Linked DNA regions of Tribolium castaneum. The protein of the gene in region 1 purifies or fractionates together with the protein of each later gene. This does not show direct contact. Links are inferred from orthologs where the notes say so. Each region holds a gene or a part of one and is shown on either strand. Other genes may lie near its edges.

Region 1 (5,326 bases):
TGGCGCTGTTCCGGGGGGATTTATATTTTCACTAATTAAATATACACCATGGTCGATTGAATTAAATAATTATAGGTAACAAGTATTTCGTTATACGAACTTAATTATGGTAAGCACGGTTTGTATCTTAAACATGTCTAATCGTCCAGTGTTTTGTGGTTACTTTACCTAATTGTTTGCTACCAGTTTACAGCATCGTGTTTAAAGGTCAAGTTACCTTTCATGAATGGGCAACTGTCATTCACGTTTTACAGTACTGGAGGCCAAAAAATATGTTGGAATCTTATTTCTGTAATGGACAACTGTCATGGATAACAAGATCAAAATTTTAGAAAATCGCATGGTAGAATTTTTTATATAATTTTTAAAATTTTTAGATATTGATAAATATTTATAACTACAGTTTACAACGTTTTTAACCAATAGATGAAACCAATTTGTATTGGTTGAATAACTAGCCCTAAGTTTGATACTGAAGTCAAAAAAATTAGGACGCCAAGTTTTTTAAATATTCATTCAGTATTTAGCAATTTTTGCAACAATAAAAATATTACAGACTGCTACTTCTTTTGTACTATTAGGGTCAGTTTATCTTAATGTAGACTAGTAGTAAACGGATAACACATTTTTATTCAAAAAACCTTAATAGTTTTCCTTACAAGACTTTAAATCTTGATGGAAACATTCACCATGTTCATCGCTTAAGCTTCCCAGGGTTTGTTAGGATAATTTAAACACAAACATAGAAAAAGTGATATGGGCTTAATTTTCATTAACCTGATGATATTTTAAAACAAACAAAATATTTAACAATTTGTTAATCATGTCAATAATGAATGTAAAGACACCACAAAAAAGCTCGATTCAAAACTTTTGAAAAATTAATTGGTTGTTTTTGCACTAATTAGTGGCAGTTTCTTTATTGTAACCAACAGTAATCGGCTAACATATTTTTATCTCAATTGTCATAAGACTATATCTTGATGAAAACATTTGATTTCTTAAGTTTCCCAGGTTTTATTAGGAGAATTGTACCACAAACAAACAAAAGTTGTTTGGGCTTAATATACATTCACTTAATGATATTTTAAAGCAAATAAAATGTTTAATAATTAGTTTAGTACAGAATGCCAAACTAGACACCAGAAAAAAAATTTCAAAACTTTTAGTGAATACAGGGTGCTCAAAAACTGGCGCACCAACTCAGTGGTACGTTATTGAAAAGCAAATGCATATTACGAGAAGAATGTTGAAAGAATTCCTAAAGTCATATTTTAAAAAATCTGGAGCTACAAACTTATTGTGTTAACTTTTTTAGTTTTCATTATTTTTTATGTTTTTATGTTTCATACCAGGTAATCGTTCCGTATCAAAACGAAGAATAATTATTTTTAAATTTACTATCACATTTTAGCAGTTTTTTTAATTTAAAAAAATTAAAATTCATCAAAAATATCACAATATGTAGATGTGCCAACACTTGGAATTATTTCCTATATATAATTATTAATACTATAGAACATTATTTAAACTACTTTAGGGAACTTATTAGGGAAATTACGTATGCATGCAAAATTTCAGTTAGGATGAAACTCTCTTAAATTTGACGCAGACAGGCAACAAACCAAGCTAAAGCTTTCAAAAAAAACCTTACCTGCGTGAGCTGTGTAAGTGTCGTCGCGCATCAACCGCGCCAATCCAAAATCAGCCACTTTGACCAAATGGTTCTCCCCGACAAGACAATTCCGAGCCGCCAAGTCCCGATGAATAAAATTCCTACTTTCAAGATAACTCATCCCGCTTGCGATTTGTGTAGCGATGTACATAAGAACCACGGCGTTAATTTGCTCCTTGTTTCCATTCCGGAGATAATCCAGAAGGTTTCCTTTACTCATAAATTCCGTAATGATATAGAACGGGGGTTCCCGCGTACAAACACCCATCAACTGGACCAGATTCGGGTGTTTCATCTCTTTCATAATCGCCGCTTCTTCCAGAAAATCCTTCAAAGCCATGGTGTCCTCTTTGAGCGTTTTCACCGCCACTGTCATGTTGTACCTCTTCCAGACCGCCTCATACACATCCCCATACTGCCCGCCTCCCAGTTTATGCCTCATCACGATATCAGTCCGATTAATTTCCCATTCGTCCGGCTCTGGACTCAGTGGAAACACCGTCGGTTTGTTGTGTTTGGGCGCGGGATACAACAGCTGTGTTATTAGTCCGTCGGCTAGCATCGAATGGTGATGCACCAGTTCCGCCAATGTATTGAATTTGCTCTCAGCTGTGACGAAAACTTTACCCTCTGCGTCCTCGTTGATGCGGTAGTGGTAGACGCGGCCCTCGTACCGCAAGGATATGCTCCTTTGGCCGGGACTGCTCTCCGATTCGCGCACCAAAAAACTTCCGTTTATTCCCGAACTGAGCAGATATTCGGCGGCGTTTCGCGAGATCGGCCCGTGGTACCAGGAATGCTTCTCGAGGGAGTTTACCGGAGTGACGTAGTTTGACGGTACCCAACCGATTTGGTTCGATGTCGAGTGGGCCTCGCACCATTCGCCGCTTTTGTTGTAACTCAAGATGCGCACTTGTTCGCCTGAAAAAAAGCAATTTTTTGCATTCATTTCTTACTAACTACATGCTAAAGTCGAGAAAATTTAAAAATTTTGACGAATAAATCAAAACCGACATAGGATTTCGATGATATTTTTAGAAGGACGCAGAAAAACGCCGATTACGGCGGAACTGTCGAAGCTAGCGCAAAAAATCAGGCACCATTGTAATCGCCGTAGGAATGTATAAAATGACGCCAATTTCAAAACGATATTTTAAAAAAGCAACAATTTTCAAACGCCAAATACGTTTATGGACAAAAAAGTCTGACACCGACGTAATCGCTCCATCAATATGCAAAAGTTTAACCGCTGCAATCGCCGTAAAAAATCTATAAACTATAAAAAACGCCTATTAAATTTACGAACAAAACTAGCAATATTTCCAAATATATATAATAGTACTTTTCAAAAAACATCGATTGCCGATTGCGTCTACGAACAAAACGTTCCGACGCCATCGTAATCAGTAGAAAACCAATAATTTATTTCTATCAATTTATACAAATGTAATAACAAAATTGATACGAAAAACGTCAGTATTGTACACAGAAATAACAATAACATAAAAATAATTTTAAGACAAGTCAAAAAACCTGTCTATTATAGAATTCATTTAAAGTATATGGTTCGAGACCAAAAATGTAGTCAAATATTTTCTTTTTAAATAAATTTAAATTACAAGGTGTGCGTAGATGCACAGGTAAACTATTGTATAGTTTTATTCCTGCATAATGAGAATTTTTTTCCGTCAGCGTGAGTTTGTGTTTTGGATACTCTAAGTCTACTTTGCGAGTTTTGTACTTGTGGTCGTTAGTGACATTAAATAGTAGATTCTGTTTAAAGAAAAATAAAAGTAATCTATATATGTATAAACCAGTTACTGTCAAAAAGTTATTGCTTTTAAAGATGTTCCTACAAGTTTCATTATATTTTAAGTTAAACATAGTTCTCATGACTTGTTTTTGAGCAACAAATACTTTTGATATCTTTCCACTTTGCCCCCAAAATATTATACCGTAGCTTAGTAATGATTGAAAATTTGTTGTTCAATGTTAAAGTATTTTTTTAAAACACGTATTGTAAAATGTACTGAGTTTAATTTTTTTAATAAATTATCTATATGCTTAGTCCAGCTTAACTTATGGTCAATGCATATTCCCAGAAAATTAGTTTTCTCTATTAATTCAATTTCTTTAGATGATATTACAATTTTATTCAGTTTCTCTGAATTCTTGTGATTACATATTGCAAAATGAATGCTGTAGGTTTTTTCAAAATTTAACACTAATTTATTTTCTTTGGTCCAGTTTATTACCTTATTCATGCATATCTTTGCTTCTTTCATTGTATCTGTCATATTTTCACCACAAATTAATATGTTTGTGTCATCAGCAAAGTTAACTGCACTATTGTTGTCTGAGACTGTTAAAATGTTTAATAAGTCGTTTATATAAATTACGAAAAATAAAGGTCCTAGTATACTACCTTGAGGTACACCTTGTTTAATTAGAAGTTTATTTGATGTATATAAAGTACTGTTTTTTGTTATTGTGACCTGCTGATACCTATTATTAAGATAAGATGTGATCAACTTTAACATAATTCATAGATAACGTGGATAGTAAAATACTTGGTTTATTAGTGACCACACAGCACTTCAACATTAATTTCTATGACATTAATTTAAAAAGTCACACCTAGAGTTTTTTCTCACAAAACAAATTTTTTCTTTATTAGGATGTGCTCTTACTTTTACAATTTGGCGCCTTTACGTACTTTTACCTTTTGCCGCATTATTTTATTATTTCTATCAATTTATTTATTATGCTCCGCTTTACGTTTATACGTCTATGTGTTCTCTCACTCTCTTATTTTTGTTTACGTGTTGTTTTACTTACCTTTGCTAAACTTTTTTCAGATATTTTAACACAAAGTTTTTAAATAAATCAACATTACAAACTATATTTTACTATCCACGTAATCTATGAAAATATTGGTTGCTAACCACTAACTTTAAAGCGATATTTTCACAAAACAACATCTACTTTTTAAACGTCGATTACGTTGACGAATAAAAAATTAAATAATTAAATTAATCGCCGAAAAATTTGATAAAAATGTATATATATTTGTAATGTTTGCAAAAAATGGGCTTTCCAAATGTCGATTACCAAAAAATTCTGACACCAACGTAATCGGCCCATCAAAATAGATCAGAAATGCGGCTCGACCTTCGTTAAAGTCCGACGTAATCAACCTTAAAAATCTATAACGTTTTGCTAATTTAAAACAAAATCTGGCTATGATTATGAACGTATATGGACAAAAAAATTTACACCTCGGCCCATCGGAATAGATGGGAGACACTTACTTTGAAAGGAAGGCATTTTTTCCGGAGTCATTTATTTTCGGAGACATTCAGAAAGAAACTAAAGTTAAATAATGATTTGTGCACAAATAAATACTTAAATAAATAAAAAAATATATAAGGCAACTAAAATGTTACACAATAATTACACTATTTAAAAGCTATCAAAAAGTTCTATCGGCGTCGTAGGTGATTTTAGAGTGAATTAGGTCACAAAAACATGTTTTCTGTGTAAAATTAAAATCTTTAATACAACTGAACCCTACTAACAAATTTGACCCAAAATACTTCACTATTTCATACTATTTTAACAAACTATTATTTTAACAAAACCGTTGTTAAA
Region 2 (4,412 bases), on another chromosome or scaffold:
ACGGGCTCAGATTAAAGCATTGTAGCAGATAATGTAAGTTACATTTAGTACTAATGTATAAAATTTAAATATATTTCACATTTTTATGTACAATAATACAAAATGTAAAAATCGATTTATTTAATAAATACAGAACTTTTTACAGGTGTATGTACAAGCTGAGTATCACCATTTTATTTAAATATCAGTTGATTGTACTCTTCTAGAACGGTTAGAAAAATATTTAAATAAAATCGTTCATTTGGGGGCCAATTCGGGTCACCACCAAATCGAGGCAAGAATACTGAATCGTGGACCGTCTCCTGTCGTATCACATTAACAACTAAAAATTGAACGACGGTGCAACCTCTCCAACCGGCCGGGTTACAGAGGTTCCACTGTAGTTTAGAGTCGTCGAAAATCCGCTATAAAATGGCCGTACAAAACTCACTTAATCTATTTATGGCATATAAAAGTAGGCCTGCCAATTTGTACCGATTGGCGATCTAAAAATTACGTTGAGATCTGCAAAACTAACTAAAGTCCCCTTTCACGCCACTAATATCAACCAAAAATCACGAAATAAATAAACTAAAGCTGCCTAAAATCGTCTCTCTCACTTCAACATTCGAACTGATTCGCTGTGATTGTGCTAAGTGTGAGCATGAGTCCTTCCAAATTCGCCATTTCCTGATTGAGTTCCTCGGTGGAGTGCGACGGCTGCAGTCTTTGTACTTCTTCAGCGGTGTGAGGGGGCGGATTCGTCGGGTTTATGCGAGAGGGGGGCGTGCCCGCCAAAGTACTCGAACTGCTCGTCGGGGGCTTCTTGTAGGGCGAGGAGTTGGGCCGCACTGCAAACAGTTTAGTAACCACAACTCTCCCTAGGTAACTAACTACTACAAAAACTAATAATCACAAATTGTCAATTAAAAATTAAAACAAAACAAAAATGTGCACACAAGCGGCTACATGAAAATCATTTTAACACACCTTGTATTTTAAAATATTCCTTTCTATAACTCCAAATAAAACTAAATTTAGTTTTATGAGATATGTAAGAATTAATAACTAATATTACTGAGTCGAATAGACATAATGACATAATAGTTGTTATATTAACTATTAGTTATTTTTTTAGTATAGAAAAAAAATTCAAAGTTCAAAATAAATCATTAATTTGGGCATTTTTGTCGAAAATGAATCGGTAAAAGGCTAAACTTCGAACTTTGCAGCAACTCACCAATGTGTTTCGGCTGGGGCGTCCCAGGGGCCGAGATGGGGGGCGGCGCCGGCACTGTGAAACTCTTCAAGGGGTGGCTTTGTGCCGGAACGCGCTTGCACCCCTGGGACTCGGCGAGGACGCCCAGGCCGGGGGCGTACGTGGCAGGGACGTGGGCCCCCATCGGAGGCACTTGGCTGCATTTTAACTGGTTAATAACCTAATTGATTGTTCAGTGGTTTGGTACCTAATGTTGGGCTCGGTCCAGCTGGAGGGATGCAAGGCGTAGGGATTTTCGGGGTTTGCTAACGGATCTACGGTCACATGGGCCCGAGCCATGTTGTACTGGGTGCGGGGGTACGAAGGCCGACTTGAAGGCGTCGAGTCTGTGCTCGATTGGCTTAGAGACGTGGTATTAATTGGGGTTGCTATTGCTGCAAAATATTTTCTTTTTCTCACATTTTCGCAAATCAATAGAGATTTTCTATTAATTGTATTATTTGTACTAACACAAACAGCACATGCAAGCCATACTTACGCTCTCTCGGCGGCGTGGAGACCACTGGTAACGTTATAATTGGCTTAGATCTGATTGGTCGTTTGATTTTATCGTCAGGGGAAACACCTAGGTGTAGCAAAGCGAAAAAGTGCATAAATAAAAGAAAAACTAGGTTGTGTTTATTAAAAGCGCTCTAAAGTACGTAATTTTGCTGGAGTGGTATTTTTATTCATTAATTGATTTTTTGGGGTGGCGAAAGCCGCTTAAAAGGGGAAAAAAAAAGCGCAATTAAGCGGAAATGGATTATCTGGTTACGCTGGGGCGAAAATTATGTAAAGTGTTGTTTGTCTGAGCCACAATTTCGTGAGAAATTCATTAATGAAGAGAATTCGGAACTGAAAAGTGCTCCAAAATTACTGTTTCGATTGGTAACAGATCTGAAAGAATTTTAGTTAACAATTTGCAACACTGCAATCTGATACGCTTTTAAAAATAAAATTCAGAATTGCCAACTAAAAAAGTAATTCTGGATCACGGTAAAAACATCTGGGAATTCAGAAACTTAGGAAAATTCGCACGTCAACATTTGTTACAAACAAAATCTGATCTTAATAAAAAAAGTAGCGAGTTTTCCAAACATTCGTTTTTTGCGCGTACTTTCCGATTTAGTGCGCTTTTAACTATCCTATTCTATGTCAGTTGAACCAAAAATCCGCTGAGAGCATGCGTACCAATCGTCAAAACTAAACTCACCCATATAGTTAGGAACATAGGTGCGTTGATCTAACGAATTAGTGTGTATACCACTTTCGTGGGGGTCATAATCGTTACCTCCCACACTTCGCGGTAAAGTCATAGCGCCACTACTGCTAGCACCATCATGGTTCGACTGACTTTTTTCCATTGCTTTCAACTCCATCTGGTCATGATGTATCCACAAATCTGGGGGTTTCACACTTTGGTTACCTTTCTGGTAACCCTTTTTACTCCTATCTGGGGACGCGGCAGCGTCGCGTCTCCGACAACACAAAACGGTTGTTACGACGCCTATCGTCGTAACGGCAATGATACAACCTCCGATGAGGAAGTATATGATAACAGTCCCGGAAAAAATTCCTTTCCCGTCTGAAACAACAATAAAATTACACACACACAACAAAAAACAAGGGGTGCCTTTACCTAAATGTTGCCGCGAACTGCTTACCAAAGTACCAACATCTAACAAAAATAAAAACAAAAACAAAACCAAAAATAAAAAACAAATAGGTGAAAGTTTGTACTCACTTGACCCGGTTGTGAAAATGACAACATTGGAAAAAGGTCCATAACCCTTGCTATTCCGCGCCTGAACTTTGAAATAATATTCGGTGTTGGGCTTAAGGTCGCCCAGCACGGCTGAATGCTTGTCACCCTTGGTCGCTTGCGCGAGCCATTCGCGATCGCTTTTTGTTTTATTATCCGTGTATAAGATCACGTAACCTGGGGAAAACGGGCGATAAAAAACCCAATTAAGATAAACTCGGTCCAACCTGTTATTCGACCGCTGGTTATCTTAGGGGGTTGCCATGTCAATTCCACCAATTGCGGTTCGTCCTCCTTTAAATGCACATCCAGGTCCCGTGGGGACGCGTTCGGGGCCAATTCCCATGTCGCGTTCTGCACAACCATGCTCCAGGGACTCTCCTTGCGGCCTGATTTTAAGTTAATTTCAAAATGTCATTTTTTAAAGCAAACAAACCTTTGACGAGTTTCACCGCAAACTCATAAAGTGTGTTTGGTTTGAGGTCGTCGATCATCACGTTGAGGTCTGACACGTTCACGGTGCGAGTTCGCATCGTTCTTTCGGCGGTGTATTTCACCACGTAGTAGCGGTTGTCCCGCACGAACTAAAAAACACTCCCGGTAATTCCAACAAAAAATATGGTTACTTTTGATCCCCGAGTTTTCATTTTGAAAAATATTGGAAACAGAGGCGGATTAACTGGGAGCTCGTGGCACTAAAAATTTGAGCCCATAAACGTAATTTATGTAGATAACAAAACTGAACAAAAAATTGAGAAAAATTTAAATCTGTGTGCAAAAATCTTCGTTTAAAATTTCGTCGAACTGTAGATCAGTCTTCTATCGTATTTCTTAACACATTTTATGCATAGATGCACTCTAATCAAACTATTATTGTCAACTTTACCTGAACATAAACGTCTCTCTGTTTATCACCTAGATAGCATTAGTGAAAGGTCAATTAAACATCAAAGATGCTTCTTGTACTCACGATAAGTTTTCTCGTAAATAAATTTCGAATTTTCAGACACTACTCGTAAGTAATGCGACTTGATGGACAGTTTCAGCCGCCGGAACTTTGAGATTTGACTTAAAAACTTAATCTGTGCATAAAATAGTATATGTATGGCGGTAGTAACGCAGTTTTATGGTCCTACAGCTTCAGGCCATAGAAGCTTCTTTACGCCCTTAATACATAAATAACTAAAGACTAAACAAAATCTTTCAAATAATGCAGTTGACATCGGGATTGATATAAAAGTTTTCTTATTGTTTGTAATGTTGAAGAAGTCTGTTAATTTTTCTTATTTAGATATACGTACAGTTTATTCCAAGTTCTACCTCGCTCCAAAAAATAAATAGGTTTTTTTTACGTAAGAACGAATCTTTATAATGGAGCGATAGAAATTTAAATGCGCTCCTATTTCATGCTTT

What was found.
Region 2: the proteins of Abl (region 1) and fra purify together in Drosophila melanogaster (affinity purification with western blotting; 3 studies listed by BioGRID). This does not show direct contact. The link is inferred for Tribolium castaneum from reciprocal best matches to the Drosophila melanogaster genes Abl and fra.

Annotation. Positions count from the first base shown.
Region 1 is NC_087394.1:5,615,672-5,620,997, reverse strand, and holds part of Abl (tyrosine-protein kinase Abl), read right to left. Parts: intron 2,597-5,326; coding exon 1,655-2,596; intron 1-1,654. UniProt on the Drosophila melanogaster protein: Arm and Abl proteins function cooperatively at adherens junctions in both the CNS and epidermis; critical for embryonic epithelial morphogenesis regulating cell shape changes and cell migration.
Region 2 is NC_087396.1:13,013,004-13,017,415, reverse strand, and holds part of fra (neogenin), read right to left. Parts: intron 3,584-4,412; coding exon 3,436-3,583; intron 3,389-3,435; coding exon 3,227-3,388; intron 3,177-3,226; coding exon 2,982-3,176; intron 2,916-2,981; coding exon 2,877-2,915; intron 2,823-2,876; coding exon 2,451-2,822; intron 1,824-2,450; coding exon 1,737-1,823; intron 1,683-1,736; coding exon of another isoform or gene 1,669-1,682; exon of another isoform or gene 1,654-1,668; intron 1,633-1,653; coding exon 1,446-1,632; intron 1,396-1,445; coding exon 1,220-1,395; intron 831-1,219; coding exon 601-830; 3' UTR 1-600.